Drosophila melanogaster: one gene and its partner. The protein of the gene in region 2 interacts with the protein of the main gene of each other region in a pairwise test. Each region holds a gene or a part of one and is shown on either strand. Other genes may lie near its edges.

What was found.
Region 1: the proteins of Lrpprc2 (region 2) and RanBPM interact in a two-hybrid assay, tested with the Drosophila melanogaster proteins (one large-scale study listed by BioGRID).

What each region holds. Positions count from the first base shown.
Region 1 is NT_033778.4:10,427,529-10,437,188, reverse strand, and holds RanBPM (Ran-binding protein M), read right to left. Parts: upstream 7,478-9,660; 5' UTR 7,406-7,477; intron 7,185-7,405; exon of another isoform or gene 7,116-7,184; intron 6,656-7,115; 5' UTR 6,604-6,655; coding exon 5,274-6,603; intron 4,151-5,273; coding exon 3,986-4,150; intron 3,918-3,985; coding exon of another isoform or gene 3,915-3,917; coding exon 3,724-3,914; intron 3,648-3,723; coding exon 3,466-3,647; intron 3,403-3,465; coding exon 3,290-3,402; intron 3,229-3,289; coding exon 3,077-3,228; intron 3,019-3,076; coding exon 2,816-3,018; intron 2,763-2,815; coding exon 2,599-2,762; intron 2,553-2,598; coding exon of another isoform or gene 2,544-2,552; coding exon 2,404-2,543; intron 2,272-2,403; coding exon 2,160-2,271; intron 2,104-2,159; coding exon 1,967-2,103; coding exon of another isoform or gene 1,466-1,966; 3' UTR 608-1,465; downstream 1-607. Other genes in the region: CG12895 (uncharacterized protein), read left to right, coding at 1-107, 170-440; CG12896 (uncharacterized protein), read left to right, coding at 9,370-9,452, 9,515-9,660. UniProt on the Drosophila melanogaster protein: May be involved in JAK/STAT signaling. Isoform D is required for the proper arrangement of niche cells and is autonomously required for proper niche cell size, isoform C negatively regulates the adhesive properties of the niche.
Region 2 is NC_004354.4:1,455,607-1,463,384, forward strand, and holds Lrpprc2 (Leucine-rich pentatricopeptide repeat containing 2), read right to left. Parts: upstream 5,012-7,778; 5' UTR 4,953-5,011; coding exon 2,657-4,952; intron 2,596-2,656; coding exon 1,673-2,595; 3' UTR 1,569-1,672; downstream 1-1,568. Other genes in the region: CG14785 (uncharacterized protein), read right to left, coding at 1-89, 144-343, 417-1,340; CG14787 (uncharacterized protein), read right to left, coding at 5,257-6,039; Ns3 (nucleostemin 3), read right to left, coding at 6,488-6,706, 6,767-6,972, 7,040-7,778.

The DNA of each region.
Region 1 (9,660 bases), on a different chromosome or scaffold from region 2:
GAGTACACAACACCCGGGGAAATTGTGGACTACGATGATCCGCCGCATTTGCCAGTTCCGGAATATCCTGTCCGTCCCGATGAGCCGCTGGAAACTCGCAAGCAGCGGTATACGCTTAAAATGAAAATATCCCAAACTCCTACTTATGATCATTCATTATCTTGTGCAGCCTTTTGTATCAAAGCAGGAAACGCGGAATGCTGGAAAACGATCTCTTGCTGAGCACTTTTGTGGCCAAGCATTTGAAGGACTTCAATGCCGAGCAGACCGCCGAGTACGATCAGTTGATCAATGGTGTCAGCAACGACTGGGATATATTCTACTGGGCCACCGATACCAAGCCAACACCTCCTCAATTCGATACCGAAATAATGCGTCTGCTAAAGGAGCACGTCAAAAATCATGAAAAAGTGCAAAGGATAAGGCAGCCGGATTTGTGAACATTATAAACTATATTATATATATAAGCATACAAAACAATGTATTAAATGAATGTGTTATTCTACTCCTGATCCTTAAAAGACCAATGACTTGAACTTGCATTTTACCTGGTATTTAAAAACGATCATTTATACGGAATAATAAATAATACGGTTGCAAGTGATTTGGTAATTTGAATGTGCTTTCATTTTTATTTTTATTTGTTGAAAACTTCAGCTTAATCAACAAATCATGACATTTGAAAAGATACAATTTTAATATATAAAACTGAACACATTGTCAGAATGGCATATATTTAATCCAATTTGAACCCCCTTTAAAACACAGTTCTCGCTTTCCTGAAATACACATCCATACAATATATTTAAACGATTATCCAGTTAAATTCTATTCATGTTTGCCGAATGTGTGTATGACCAATCTTGTATATATAGATTAAATTTTAATACGCTTAAACACTATAGCGAAACATTACACTTAAAATGTTCATTTGCTTTTGCTTAGTCTTGCCACAAGACACGGGATGGCGCGGAGTCCATCGAAAATCGCTGAAAACACGGAGAATTAAAACGCGAATGTCTACCAGTTAACTATGGATTCGGTTCTATATTAACATGCTAAGGAGATGATTGAACAGCTTTTGCTCCAGGCTAGTCCCTTCACTATCAATTCTAGATTATATTTTGGTGTGTGATTGTTGTGTTTCGGGCGGTGGAAGCGAAAAACAAAGGGCTAATTCAATTTCAAGGGTCGTGTCGCAGCACATTTCGCAAATTTAATTATACATCATAATATTACACACTTTATGCTTAGAGAGGCTATATAAAATATATGTTAAAAGTTATTAAAAATCACGCCAAATCAAAGGCCGCCAAACGCATAGCATCTTTAGCATAATCGAACAATTAAAAGAACGGCGATTAGTTTTAAATAGGCGCACTGAAGCCGGTTGCGCAGGTAAAAAAGAAAGAGAACGGAAGTAACAACAAAATTTAACCTACTGCAAATTGTAAATAATCTAAATTTAGTCCAGTGTCTCGAAGAAGTCCTGCGGATCGACGAACATCGATGGGCTGCTGTTTCCGCTCAAGATTTCCGCTTCCTCCTCCTCCTGGCGAGCCGCCTCCGCTTCCGCTTCTTCCGCCTCCTCCTCCGCTGCCGCTGCTGCAGCCGCTGCCGCCGATGAAGATGAGCTGACCCCGCTCCTGCGACGACCCCGACGCACTGGTCCCGTGCCCGTGCCCCCGCCCACCGATGCCACAGCTGCCGACCGGAGCGTACTGCCCGTCATCACGGGATCGTAGGTCCGCGACGACGGGGCATCGGTATTGCTGGACAGGGAGGATTTGCGGCGACGTTTGTTACGCCGCCTTCGGCGTCGTTTGCTGGTCTGAACTGCCACGGCAGCCGTTGATGTGGAGGGCCCAGATCCGGTTCCGGCGCTGCCCAACGGTTCCGTAAGCACACTGGTTCGCGGCAGGGTCAGCGTGGTCTCGAACATCTTCAGCAGCGTCGGGGAACTGGGTCAATTTTGCGGGAACACATCGTCGATGGTAATGAAAGCGTCCTCGCCCAGCGAGTGCTGTCCGATCACCTTGATCAGCTCCGAGGCGTGAGCCACCAGGTATTCCAGCGGCGGACGACGCTCGAAGTTCAGGGACTCTGCATAATCATAGTAATTAGTAACTTCGTTTCGAGACAAGTGTTTAAAGACTTACCCAATATGGCCGAGTTGAGTGTGGTGGAAACACTCTCACGTCGCGAGGGACACAGCAACCAGCCCAGCGGACTGGACCAAGGATTAGAGTAGGCAATCAGACTAAATGCATCCTGTAACAACCATAAATTGAATATCTCTCGATTACGGATAATCATATTCTTATTGAAGTTATTTTTCAAATACAAAGAGTGCTTAGTCTGCAAGATACCAGTTTCTATTGTTTATACATTTTTATAGTTTACCTCCAACATTTGACGCTCCTCTTCAGTCATTAGGTTCTCCTTCTCCAGCTGCTGGCCCATGCTGGACAGTTCCTTGCCGAACTCAAGGATCTTCTCGATCACACGACCACAGTTACGCGATGAGGGGGAAACATCTACATCTGCAAGTGCTAGGGATTACGGATCTTCCCGGAAATGCCGCCAATAGATACATACCCATTTCCTCGTCGATGGCATCTAGAGAGTTGCGCACTGCGCTGGCATTGCCATTGGAGCTCGAGTCGCCGCCGTTGGAGTGACTCTGGCAGGGCTCCATTTCTACGTCCATGCTGTTGCTGTCGTGCTCCACGCACTTGTTGGAGTTGTCGTCAACCAACATGCTTGAACAGTACGTTGTGATTAAAGATCGGAGTAAGTATTACATTTGACTTACTTTTTTATATCTGGCCTATCGCCGCCTTGTGGCTTTATCACAGCTGGAATCGCAGTGTTGTTCTGTTGTTGAGTCTGATTTATGTTGACGTTGCCATTTCCACTGCCGCTCTTGCTGTGCTTGAACGTCTTGGTGGACTGTATCACTGACGTCTGGTTTGTGGGCATGGTCTGTGTGGTGGCGGTGACTTTGTTGTTCACGTTCTGTAAGACAAACCATCCGGTTCTACTTATCTTCCGCATGTAATGTTTAAAAACCCACCTCAATGTCAGCTCCATTGATCATCTCAATGAACTGGCGGCACTTCAATGCGAACCAGAGGTTTTTATTATTTTCCAGGAGTCCGGGGAAAGAACGTAGTGTATGTTCGATGGCCTGGCTCATTTTGCCAGTCAGTATAAGCTTAATGATCTCTGGAAGAGTGGATTTAAAGTTGGCATGTGTGTTGTCATTTCAAATGGCAAATATACGAACTTTGACGTGTCTTGATCGATGCCAAGTCCTCGTTGAAAGTCTGATTTGTGTAGCCATTGAAGGCCTCGGCGGTTTTGCTGAACGCATTATGCACCAAATAAGTGGAAACCAGGCTAAGCAATTTAGAAGTCATTGGGTTAAGCCATGATTTTTAAACACATTTAACAAAAACGCACCGATTCATCAGGTTTTCTGGGGTCTCCAGCAGATGTGGATATCGATCGATCTTGCGGAGCACATTGGAGCGCATCTCCTTCATCATATCGACGATCTTGTCGAACTTGAATGGTTCCTGACCAAAGTTGGCATCCACTTCCTCGCCAGGCGTCTGTAGGCCCACAGTGGGATAAAGCTTAGTCTAAACAAAAAAAAAAAAGATTAACAAACATAAAGTTAGAAGATAAAGTAGTTTTAAAATTCCATTGAATACGCACCGGCAAATCCCTAAATGCGATGCCCAGATCCACTCCGTTCTTGGTGTAGAAGCACGTGTTGTTCACAAAGTTGACGCAGCATCCAATCACATCGCCGGTGGTAAAAGTGGGGCCGTAGGTTTGGCCATTTCCCGAGGAGCTAAACGAGTTGCCATCGTCGCCGTGGTACCCGTACGACTGTTTGTCCCAACCTACTTGAGGGGGGGTGCGGTTATTAGGAATCATGGGCACATCTCGCCGAGCAGCACAATGGAACACAAACCTGGCAGGCGGTTCATACGGAACTGCTGGGCAGTTAGGCCAATGCCCATGTAGCCGTTGCGTCCCTTGGAGATTATCCGCACCTCGAAGTAGTACAGTCCGCAGGAGGACGGGATCGGATAGGCAGTGCGCACTGAGGCGGCATCACTGTGCTGCTTGCCCACACCTAAAAAGTCATGAGGTTTCAGTATTTGACAGATCTCAATTTTTATATGCTATAGCATTGCAGTAAGACAATATTCTTTTATCCATTCGGTATGAACTTCCTACTCTCGAACTTAGTACATGGGATATGTTCTTAACATAAATGAATGAGTTGGTTATCTGGACAATAAAAATAATAAAATTGATACTCTAAATAAAAAAACTGATTTTTGGCCTAAGTCTACGTCGAAACAATAATGAGACATTTTATCAATTTAAATGAAATATTTCGAATTATTGAGTTATATATTTTACCTGAAATTAAAGTAACCTAAATATACATTTTACATCTATGCAACGCACCATCTACGTAATAACTTATACATTTTACGCGCATTTTACATGTTATGTCGCACTGGTAAGCCAGCTGTTGCTGTTAGCGGTTTAACAGCCACGCGAATGAGCGTGGGAGAAGTGGGTTATGAAAAACAAAAACCACCAGTGCACAGCTGAGAGCACCTGTCTGTGCCCTGTGCGTGTGTGTGCCAGAGCGAGATAGAGCGAAAGAGAGTGAAAACTGCAGCTGCACTACGACTCTTCTTCTTTCTACTGCATTGAGTTACATCCTTCAAGACAAATATTAGATTTTGTGGATGGGATTTCGAATAAATAATAATTTCGATAATGCAATTAATAACTATGCAAGTAATAATTTAGTAGGGGCTAGCCTTATATTCGGGTGTTTTGATTTAAGGGCTAAAATATTGTATACTGTCTCTTTAGCTTTAGATCAATACAAATTTGAAAATGTAAGAACAAAGTCAAATCGTTGTAATAAAGATAAACTCCATGAACTCTGGCACTTATACCACCTGGATACTCATACTTGGCTACAGCGTAGACAAACTTATTACAATTTATTCCATATCTATGTAACTATATCTATGTAAGTGCATATTTAATTATTACATTTCATTGCGAAATTGAAATGTGCGTATTAGTGGCAATATGAAACCGATTTAGAATTGAACTATGACAGCTCCTAAGAAATCTGTATCTTATAGTTGCCTGATCGTTGCCTACTTTCTATTTTAGATGGTATGAAATGGAGAGTTGATTTATAGAGAAGTTCGAATCCTACTCACCCTTGTAGGTGACCCTCAAGTTGTTCTGCGACAAACCGATGGACAAGCACTTGTCATGGGGACTCCAGCACCTGGGCAGCGGAGTCTCGCTCTCGTTGACATTGGGATAGAGCAGCCTTAGGGGATCCACGCCCTGGTGCTGTGGCGAATTGGAGCTGGCGGCGGGGGTCGAGTGATGGCGGCGACCACCGACCCGCGGCGATGATGTCTGGGTGCTGCTGCGGGGATTGTGGCTGGGGAACATGTCGTTGCTGAAGTGACTGCCGTTGTTGCTGTAGAAGTGACGAGTGCGTCGCGAGAGGCTGTTACTGTTGCTGTTGTTATTATTGTTGTTGTGATTGCTGATATTGTTGTTGTTATTGTTGCTGCTCCTTGGGGCTCGTGAGGCTGAGGAGTAGCGCGGCAAAACGGCCACCGAGTGCAGGCGCTGGGCACCGGAAACGGAAGCGACTTCGCCGGCTCTGTCGACCCGGTCCTCTACCACCTCCTCCTCTTCATCCACCTCCTCGTCGTCGTCTTCGTAGTCGTCGATGCGCTCCACGGCGTTGGCGTCTATGGTCTCGGCTATAGCGTTTGCGTCTATAATCAGTGGCGGCTGCTGTTCGTTAAGATCCTGCGATCCGGAGTCCTGCTCGTCCAGATCTTCGAGAAGCAGCGGTGGCGGTGGCTCGGCTTCTGGTTCGATTTCGGGATCTCGAACTTGCGGCTCATCCGGTTCTTGGTTGGTATCTTCTCGTCCTAATGTCTCCCGGTTTTCCAGCGATGCTTGTGGTGGATGCTCTTCCGGATTCTGTGATTCTCGGTGCCGAATAAGCCCCTCTATGTGATGCAGCTCCTGGTTTTGCTCCGCTTGTTGATCTTGGTGCACTGCGGGATATTCTTGATTCTGTTGATCCAGCAATGGGTGCAGCTCCTGGTCCTGCGCGGGCGAATTCTCCTGCTGATCCTGCTGCAATGGTGGCGCCTCTTGCTGCTGCTGCTGCTCCCGCTCGTCCCGCTGCGGTGCCGTCGATGAAGTCGTGGGTGGCGGTGCAGTCTGGTGGAAAGTAGGAGTGGGTGAGTGATCATGTGGTGAATTCTCGCGAGCTTCCGTTTCAGATGCATTCAATGGGGGACTAGGGTGATCGGGATGGGGTTGGTCGTGAGAGGACGCGGGGACGGGCGGCGAGGGTGTGGGCGAATGAGAGTGTGACCGAGACGTAGAGGGGGCTATTTCGGCACCCATGGCTCCCGATTGAGAGAGCTGGTGAGAGCTGCTGCTGGCGCTGCTGTTGTTGCTATTGCTGTTGCTCTCCGAAGAGAGTGGCGGGGCCTCTTCGACGTTCTCCATGTTATGGTTGAGTTGTCGTTGTTGTTTATCTTGTTGTGGTTGCAAAAGGAGGCTGAGAGAGAGACGTTCAGCGAGGAATTAGAGAGAGTGAGCCAGCAACGAGCGAGCAAGAGAGAGCGGATGAAGTGCATATGCAGATGCTGTGTGTGTATACGTGAGGAGTGACGAAGGGAGGGGTAAGGAGGCTAGCAAACACAAACAACTTCCAAAATGCAATGTCCTTTGTCCGTTACACCGTTCACCTCATTCGCACTCTCTCAATCACTCGTGCACTCTCTTTCGTTAACTGACCCAAAATACAAACAACAACAGCAACAGCAGTTTACAGTTGCGACGCGCAGCTGCAGCACAAAAAAATACAACAGCAACAACTACAGCTACAAAATTGCATGCACGAAAATGCAAAAAATCAATAGCCAAACGATATTAGCCAATGCTTTCTGCACTTTTTAACATTGCTAGCAAGTCAGTTTTGATTATTCTACATTTGTAAATGCCTTTTTACGTCGTACTTTTCTGAAGTTTTCTTTGTTTTCCCTTCTAACCAACGAGTCACTGTCCACACACACACAAACAAGCACCAGCTCACACACTGGCAGCACTCTCTCCCTCTCGCACACACGCATATATGCATGCAGCAAGCACACACACTCGCAGCTCCCACACGCAGAGAAGAAAATTATCATTTTTTTTTAGCTGGGGCAAATGATCTTTGTTGGGGTTTTATTTAGCTGATGAATTCGATTTGGCTGTCATTCTATGCTGTTGATCGGATCTACAGTTGATATTTCCTTATATTTACCTTCAAACGATTGCTATGAGTTGTTAAATCTACGAAGTTTTGACTTTATGCTATAGAGCTGGAACAAAAGCCGATGTTCATTCGATGATATCGATATCTATTCCGACACCTGACAACATCAGAGTGCGCTCGGCAGCTATCGATTATTCTTATCGAATAAATCTCTTTAGGCGCCTAAATTCAAAATTTGATAAGCAGTAACACACTTCCCAAAGTGCCATTAAAATCTTAAAATGTTTTTAGGTAAAACCCTTGACAATACTTTTGGAGGGTATTATTGCACTATTGCTAGCAATCTTATTTTTTGGGTAAAATTAAACCTTACGTAATTCGTTATGTTTTTTAATGCTAATTTAATCTTTTAAATATTGGTTTAAATTATAAAAAAAGATCATATTATCTATTTTTAGCGCATACTTTACGCCATACCGATAAGAATATTAAGGGCAATTATTACTTAGAAACTTCTGCCTATGGTATAAAAGTATGACGAATGTCAAACATACGCGTTTTACATTGAAACCAGATTTAAAAATGCATCAGCGCAAAAAACTTTAGTGATTTCTAGTACTCTGCCCAGAATGTAATTAAGAGATCGCTGCACTGGTAAAAAAAACCGCCATAAATTCAAAAGATTCGATTCGATTGACAGACTATCGATGCTGCAGAATTTACCGGTTCGCTCTACGGCTTCTCTCAAATGCTTTGACACTTTCTATCTCACTCTTCTAATCGTTCTTGTTCGTTTCGCCTCAACCTTCACTCTGTATTTTAGTTACTTCCTTTCCGAATAGAAATCCTATCACGTAACTGATAATAAACAGTGGAAAATTACCACACGTCTGGTGTAGAGACGAATGTTGCTGGATTCTTGATTAGACTTTATACACTAGCACAAAAACTGTACTTGTAACTTATGAAACACGATCGAGCTACTGGGAGGGAACTCTTCTAATTAAACTTATCAATTGTTGCATTTTTGGTATCCATTATGACTAGATATTGAATTTTAACCATATGATTCCTATTTGGGCTGCTTTCATGCGTACTGTCTTTTGCCTTCTGAATGAGCGATCTGCCCATCCGACTTCCCAAATCCATTCCATCTTTATGTGTGACTTACTGAGAGAAAACCTATGCTGGTGTGCTAATTTTCGATAGACCCACGCACACAGTCTCACGATTTCACTCGCTCTTCACTTTCAATTAGAGGCTCGTTTTCTGTACGTGAACGGGAGAGCCGTGCGATCTATGGAAGTGTGCGATTTTTGCAGGCACTCACAAATACCATCACGTTGCTCGCCGCTCTCTCGCTCTCAATATCCGCCTATCGGCGTGGCTGTATGTTTGCAGGTGTTGGTGCTTCGCCTCTGTTTACCAACACCATTTAACATTTAAATGCGCTCTCGCTCTCTGTTTATGTTTGGAGCCGGCAAAACCGTCAACTGCATCAAATCAGCTGTTTTGATACTAGATCCTGAAGGAATTGGTTCTGGACTGATTGATTTATTCGAACAAGTTTAAATTAAAAGAAATATGCGAAACTGTACTTCATTTTGCGTTACATCTAAAATGTGTTCGTCACAGAGTCCATTTTTGTGTGACGCCCCAAACAGGTTTTTTTAAGGCCCCTCTTGAGGTTCACACAAATATGGAGACCCCGTACGAGGCCTCATCTTTCCCCTCACAATGTCCCCAATTATCACTGAGTTGTTTGTTAGTCTACCCGCAGCACCACGTACTATACATACAAACATACATATGTACATATATGATACGATAAGCCAGCTCCCGTTCTCTGTCTCTATCGGTCCCCTTTCATCAAATTGATCCAGTCGGGTATAAAAGACAGCGAGCTCTCCCAGTCAGTATTCAGTAAGCAACAAGTGTGCGAGCTAATAACAGCTACCAGCTGAGCAACTAACAAGTTTTTTTCCAAGTGAAACTAAAAATCAAACAGCAAGATGCGTTTGGGACAGACCGTACCTAACTTCGAGGCCGACACAACCAAGGGGCCCATTAAATTCCACGAGTGGCAGGGCAACTCGTAAGTGCCATCAAACCCTTTTTCTCTGATCGAATCTTACCAATTCTCCTTCGGATCGCCAGCTGGGTGGTGCTCTTCTCTCACCCCGCCGACTTCACTCCCGTCTGCACCACTGAGCTGGGCAGGATTGCGGTGCACCAGCCGGAGTTTGCCAAGCGGAACACCAAGTGCCTGGCGCATTCCGTTGACGCATTGAACTCGCACGTGG
Region 2 (7,778 bases):
GGACCAAGAGCCTCTCCTCCTGATGCTTTCGTTGTCGGTGTAAAGCGGCGCCACTGAAGCGGGGCTTAGACTTGAGGGTGATGGCGTCTCTGGGGGAAACAGTTCACGTAAGCGATGTACAAACCCCCAAGAATGGAACCTACTCTAGGCCTGCGGCAATCAAGCGTTGCACGCCGGGACTGTGGATTACTCGGGCAAAGTGGTTGCACCGGTTGGACCTGTCCAGGGTGCACAAGTACCAAGTCGGCATCAAGGCGAAATGCACCTCGGCTAAGATGCGCTCGGCGCAGTCGCCGCGCTCAAGCCAGTTGTGCTCCAGCCAGAGCACCACGGAAAGGAATATCTGCCGATGGTTATCGTTTGAATTAGAAGGAGAATGACCCAGTGACCACACGGAAATGATTTGACGATCTCACCTCGATCTCCGAGTTGACGCTGAGGTAACAGTTTCGCAAGATGTGCGTGAGCTCGTGCTCGGTGAAGTACAGGAAGAATGGTGAGCCGACAATGCAGAGGAAGACGCGAGAGATGCGGGTGAGCATTAGTTCGCACAGGATACGGGCCTGCGGGTGATAACGGACTTCCAGGTAGGCCTTGAAGGCGGTGTCCTCGTTGAAGAACTCCATCTTCGACAGGGACGACCTCAGCTGGCGCAGCAGCTGCGGGATCTGCAGCACCTCCTCCGCAACGACGCGGGCGAACAGCTCGCGCTCCGCACCCGCATCCGGGCCAAGCTGATCTAGCTTCGGCAGCTTATCTATAAATTTGCGCGCCGCGTATATCTTGGCGTAGTTCTGCAGCACGCCCTTAAAGAAGCGATACCGCTCATTGCCGACGAATATGCCGGCCTCCATCAGAGTCTGCTCCCGCAGCACGTGCAACAGCTGTTCGGAAACGCGCTCGATGGCCGAGTGCGGCTGCACCCCGCTGCCGAGCAGCTCCATCACGATCTGCTTGGCCTCGCCATCGCCCTCTGCGCCGTCGCCGAGGTGATTGAGCAGGCTGGCAATTTGCTGGCGGCTGGTCAGCGCCTTCAGCTTGGCTGGATCTCCCTCGATTGGCAAGAGCTTTACAGCGTGGGCCGACGTCGAGGAAGCGGAACCGGCGTCGCCCTGAGCGCCGCTCTCGAGTTTCTCTGGCTCCGGTTTCGGCCTGCGGTCCTGCTTTTTGTCCTTCAGCTGATCCTGTTGATCCTTTAGCTGCGGAAGGACCCGCGTTCGGAGTAGCGGCGAGACGGTGGCCACCGACATGAATACCTCTATTGCGCCCTGCTCATGAATCTGGTTGCCCATCTGGGCCTTCTGCTCATCGGAGACCGGACGTCGGGACAGCCGCTTCATGGTTGGATAGGGAGGGGTTGCAACTTGCACAGATTGAACGCGAATAAAAACTAAAATTTAGATTGGGAGTGGGTTTCGGAGAAGCTGTTAGGAGACTGTTGTATGCTACGAGTGAAAACTTTGTGACCGTTTCGGAGCACAGATTCCAGATGACAATAGGTTTCAAAAGCCAGGCCTACTAGACGTGGCACCAGGACACCCAGAAGCTATAAAAGATCTTTCAGACTTGCAGGTATACCGTCTCGTATTTACTGCACTAATTTATGTGTGTACATACATACCAAGTGTATAACTAAGGATAAGAGCGACGATCTATCTATCTCGTCGCCCGGCTATCTAACGTGGGCGCGCAGGGCGATTGTACTGGGAATTTCAACCTGGTTCACCTGCAGCAGCTGCACAAGGTTGCGAAGGAACTCATGCGACACCTTCAGCTCGTCGTCGGCCTCCAAGCGCTCAAAGAGATCCAACGCCGCCTCGTAGTCGTTGCTACGGCAGAACTGGGCCAACAGGAGGTCGTAGATCTTCTGCTCGTCTATGGTCCGCTGGACACCCCTCACTCCGCGCGCCAGCCGCAGGAGCGTCCGCACAGCGCCCTCCTGTCCCAAGTGCTCGCAATTCTTCACGAGGAGCTCGTGGTTGATGCGGAACTCTGGGTTGATGATCAGCCGGCGCAGCTGTGTCTCCTTTCCGGATTCGGCCAGGGCGAGCAGCAGAGCGCTGTTCATATTGGCCGCTCCGTGGATGCGACTCACAGTCGCAGTAACCACCGCTAGGTGCTGCTGCGCGGACTCGGCCGTGACGCCGGGAAAACGGGTCAGCTCCTGCTCGTCCCCGTTGCCCAGTCGCACCAGCAGGGACAAGAGCTCGAACTGCAGAGGCGTGTGCTTGTGAGTGTTAGCCAGTCGCTGAAACTCGGCCACCGCAGCGTCCAAGTTGCCCTTCAACAGCCACTCGCGGACCACTGGTCCCAGTAGGGCATTTTGCGATTGACAGTAGCCCAGACCCCTGAGGAAGTCCAACCACTCGCGAGTCTGGTTAAGTTGTTTGGAGCTCTCGCCACCTGCATGTGAAGAGGCGGCCAGCTGGCCCACGTTGGTCAGCAATTGCCATACGTTCTTCATCACATAGTCGCCACCGACAACCTTATGCTGCTCCGCGCGTCGCTGGAGCAGCTGCTTTGCGGCCTCCAGCTGCTGGCCTTGGACCAGGAGGGCGGCATAGTCGATCACTTTGTGCTCGTCAATCTGAAAGGCTTAAGAGAGAACGGTATGCGGATTAATGCAGTTCACATCTAGTAGTAAGTTGTTAGGTACCTGGATACATGCTGCTCAGTCGCTCCAAGCTCTCCTGGGCGCGCGGCAAGTCGCGCAGCTTGATGTGTAGGTCGAATATGGAGGCCATCATGCCTGCGCTTTCCTGAACCTTCAGAACTTGGCACTTGGCCAACAGCTGCTGTGCGCGCTCCAAGCGCCCACTGCGCACCGAGAGCTGCAGCAAGCGACGCAACACGCCTCGCGGGTTCAGCTGCTTGGACTCCAGCTCGACTAGGTGGCACTCGAGCTCGTCTATGCTCATGTCGCGCGGGTGCTTGATGAAGCCTCCGTGGAGCGAGACCGTGTCAGCTGGCAGGGCGAGCTGTGGGTTTTTCATCTTCTGCAGCGTTTTGGCCAGATCCTGGATGAGGTCAACGTCATCAGTGGCGTGCCGGACCACGGAGAGTAGAGCTTCGGAGGCAGCGGGTGAGATTTGTAGCTCTAGGCGTCTCAGTTCGTGCAGAAAACGTCGCAACGAGGTGGCATCCTGGCGCAGACGCGTCTGAGGTCCAGTCATTTGCAGCAGCAAGGAGCCCACAAAATCTTCTCCCCGTTTGAGTGCCTTCTGCTGCAGGGCTTGGATCACTTTGGCAAATACCTCGAAACGCTTCGTGGCACGGGCATTGACCGCCAGCGAAGAAAGTGGTTGGAGCAGCGTGGCCAGGTCCAAGCGTGTCGGATACCGATCAAGCAAGTCCAGCACCTCGGACATCTGATGCTGCTGCAGCAAGTGGCTCACAACCGGGCACAGGGTCTGGGAAGGCTTGACCCCCGCCGATTCAAGTGCCTTCACGGCCTCCAAGGGCTGCACCAGGGTTTGGCGCAGGTGGGGAAACAGGTAGTGCCGCAACGTTTCCTCGTCGCACTCAACGCGCAGGCGCCGCATTTCAGAAACCAGGCGTAGCATGCCGCTTTCGCCCTCCCGCCGGTAATGGTGCAAGATCAGGGGCCAGAAGTAATGCGGACGAAGTTCCTCGCCGGCTGCAGATAGATCCTCCAGGCAGCGTAGCGCGGATGATGGCTGACGGCGAAGGGCCAACTCCGCCACCAAATGCAGGGCGCGGACGTTCTGGTTCCGCTGCACTAGTTGACCGGCGAACTGGATTGTTTGGTCCAACGGAACTTGGGCGCGGAAGAACTCCTGCAGCAGAAGTGCACCGTACTCATCCACGTTCTGATTCTGCAACTCGAACTTCGGAGCGGGCAACGCACCTACGAGCTGTATGACGACTTCGGTGCGTCCTTGGTGCACCAGCTGAATGCACAGGCTTCTGATGGCGGGCGGCAGGTCGATACCTGTTAGAAACTCGCGGGGCAGTTCCTTGACAAGCAGTTGGATTAGATCCGTGTCGACATCCTTGCTGGCGAGCAGACCCCGCAGCATCTGGAGCAGCTGAGGGGCGGTGAATCCGTGCTCCACCTGCAGCAGCTCCTTGGCCTGTGCCAACTGACCGTTTTCCAGCAGAGCCTCGAACCAAATGGCCTGAGTGCTGCTGCCTTGCTGTATTCCTGCGGCCCGCATGCTGGCTAGGACGGACTCCGCCCCGGGCAGATCACCGCTGCGGGCGTGGCCCAAAAGCAGGGCGTGAAAGTTGTGCTCCGTGAGGGCGAGGCTGCGCTCGCGCATCTCCGACAAAATCTCGGTGGCCATGCGCATGTTTCCGGCGGCGCCGGCCACGTCCAAAAGAGCGCCGTACAAGGTGGAATCGGCTGCTCCATGGTAGACGGCAATCTCCGCCAGCAACGAGCGATAGTCAGTCAGAGGCAAACGGTTCTGGCGCAGCACCTGGAGCTTCGTGTGGTAATGTGCCAGCGTGGGCTGGCCCAACTTGATCAGTTGAGCCCAGAGTCCCTTGAAGAGCTGAAGACGCTCCTGGCTGCTCTGAGCAGGAAGCAGTTCGGGCACACAGGACCCTAGAAGGAAGTGCACCTCTTCGATGCCGACTCCTAGCGGCGACGCAGACTCCTGCAGGAGCTCCAGCAGGCGCTGGCAGTGCTCAAAGTTGATCAGATCGTGCTGCCGGTAGTACGCCTCCAGCTGTGTCCACGCATCCGCCACGCTGGCTTTCGGTTTTTCAGAGGAGGAGGCGGGGCGCCGGCTTCTTCGCTCCACCGCACTGAGGACGCCACCCGTTCCCAGGGATCGCATCTGGAGCAGCGAGAACGGCACCGCTGGCGCCGCAGGCTTCGTTGCATAACGGAATGCCAGGCTGGCGGAGGAAGCGCTGCGTCCTGGCAGATGGCCCAAGCGCTGCCTGCAGAGCCACACGTTCCGCAACAGTCGTGCTCGCTGCATTTTGCCCAAGTTAATTAATCTTCCCCAAAATTACGAGATTTTACTTTCGCAGTTTTGCGGCGAGCAACAAAAAAAAAACAACACGCGCCGGCAATCAGCTGTGCCTTCCAGTCGAAAGATATCGAAAACAGTGCTGCCCATCTGTATATGCATACCCGTTTCCGTTGCAGATTTTGATTTAAAGTTTAAGTTAAGTCATGGAGCTCCAATGAAAGGAATGAAAAGAAATACCATGGGGACATGTCATTATTTTATAATCGCTATTTATTTACTTAATCGATTCAACGGATCTGGAAGCGCAACCCTACAGCGAGGATCTGGCCAAGCGGCGTCGCTGCGCAGCCAGCGGAGTGCCCTCCTCGCGCAATTCGGCCAAGAGGGAGTCCTGCCAGGGACGAAACAGGAGGCGCTTTGTCGCCAACAGGGAGGCGGAAGGCAAGCGCAAGTATTGGTCGACGCGGTGCCAAAACTCCTGCGGCTCTCGCACCACACTGGCCACAAGGCCACACTGGAGGGCAATGCTGGAGCTCGCTTGATCGCCCAGACGAAGCAGCCAGTGGACGTGTGGCACAGTCCAGCCGGGACCCACCTTGGTGCAGGGATCCAGGTGCGAGAAAGCGGGCACAAAGGCAGATAACTCCGTTGCGAAGACCAGATCGCACAGGCTGCACACGCTCAGGCCCAGACCGACGCACTGCCTCTCCACAAAAGCCACTAGGAGTTTGCGGTGCACAAGCAGCTTCTTGGCCAGCGAGCGCATCACAAAATTGGCCGCCTTCTCATGGATGTACTGCTCCTCGGCATCACCACTGCCCACAGCTTCTTCGTGGGAAGCGGTACGCCTACTCCTATTCTCCAGACCCTGTTTGAGAGCCAACGGTTCCATCTCACCGCCACATGCTGCAGAAAACTCGCCCGAGAGCACGACCACCTTAACGGCGGCGTCTGCACTCGCCAGGTCCAGGGCGCGCATCAGCTCGTAGAGGGTTCGGCGTTGCCAGCGCCGCTGGAAGCGTATGTGGAGCAGCCCAGAACGCTGTTCGACGACCAGCTCCCTGAAGTGCTTGCAGCTCTCGTTTGTGGCCATCGCTGAAGACTGCGTGATAGAGACTGTGGCCAAGTGATAGAAGACAAGAGCCGTAAGCATCTGCGCTTATCACGCGGTCAAAGTGCAGGCTTCTTTTCTCCGCGCAACTGCGCTCCTCCGCATCTCGAAATTACCTTCCATTCACGCATCTCTTAAACTCAATTGGGGGCGCCATTCCAACAACAGTTTGCTTTCATTGGTGTGTATGCTAAATATATGCTATCTTTGTGTTAATCGTTGTGTCCAGGCTGGGCCATCAGATGGCTTATCTATGTTTCTCTCAATCTGCTAGTTGCGCAATATAACTCTTTCAGTCTGAGATTGTGGGCCTTCAAACTCTCGAAGTCGGGGGGACTTTAATATATATGTATATACGTAGGTTTAATGCTTAAAATGTACAAGTGCCTCTTAGACACACCCTTCGGAATAAATAACTAATGGGCTACAATCAGTGCTCGTCCAGGTGCGAGAACTTTTTGCGCAGCTTCTCGCGCCTCTCCTTCTTCACATGACGCCAGGGCTTGGCCGCCGGATCATTGCCGGCTACTAGGGACCCGTCGTTGGCCAGGCGCACGTTAGGGAAGTTAGTGCGTCCTTTGACGTGGGCGTGCGTAGGCTTGTCGGAGAAGAATTGGTTGTCTAGCTCCTTGGACGTGCTTTTGTTGATCTGCGGAAAACGCGATCAGTTAGCAAAGGAATCACGTCTAGTGCAAAGGGCAAATCTCACCCGCATGGCTCGCTGCTGTTGGCCGGGCAGCTGTGATTCCTCGATGACCCTGCGCTGGCGTTCGGGAAAGGTGTGATACTCGGTCTGCGGTACAGAGGGCGGGCTCATGGCGTAGAGCAGTCTGCCATTGACGTAGTCTTTAAGCACATACCTGGCGGAACGCGCCTGATCCGGCTGCCCGTTGGAGGTCATAAAACCGCGATTGTCTGGAAAAGAGCGAGAAAGAGTGCGTTGTGAAATACTGAAATGCGTGCGCAAAGCATTGGCACTTACATCCATAAGCCAGCAGCAGCTCCTCCGAATGCGGTGGCCTTTCCATGTCCTCGCCTTCCAGCGGCTTGGCTATCACAATACCGTATTTGTCTTCAAGGACGTGGCGCGGAATGCGCTCGCACAGCAAGTTGACGGCGGGAACGTGATCGCGCATTTGGTCAATGGGCAGGATGCCGTTGAGCAACATGTCCGCCTTGGTTAACACAAAACTCGGCATCACCAGACCGGGACAGTCGCAGAGCAGTATGTCCTTGTCCAGGAAAAGCGTCTGGAAGCGTTTAGTTTTGCCCGGCGTGGCCGAAACGGACACCTTCTTCACTGTCATCAGCGAGTTGATGGTGCTACTTTTGCCAACGTTTGGGTAGCCGACCATTCCGACGGTCACGTGCTGCTCTGTGTGCCGGGGACCGGTGTAGATGTTTCGCAGGAACTCAATGAGCTCCAGGCGGGACAGCAGTCGGGGACTGTTCTTGTCCCCGGGCAATCGTGGCAGCTCATCGTTTTGAGTCTCGGGAATCGTCTTATATTTCTGCTCGATAACGTTCAAAGCGTCCTCCACGCTATCCAACGACTGTTTTATCTCCTCAACTGCTCTGCGCAGCTGTTGCACCTCGGGAAAGGAATCCAGGCACTCCTCCGCCTCCCGCTTCAACTCCTCCTCTACCAGCGTGGCCGAGTAGAAGGCCGTGCGAATACCCTCGCTGTCAAAGTACTCCGCCCAGTGGCGACGCTGTTCCTC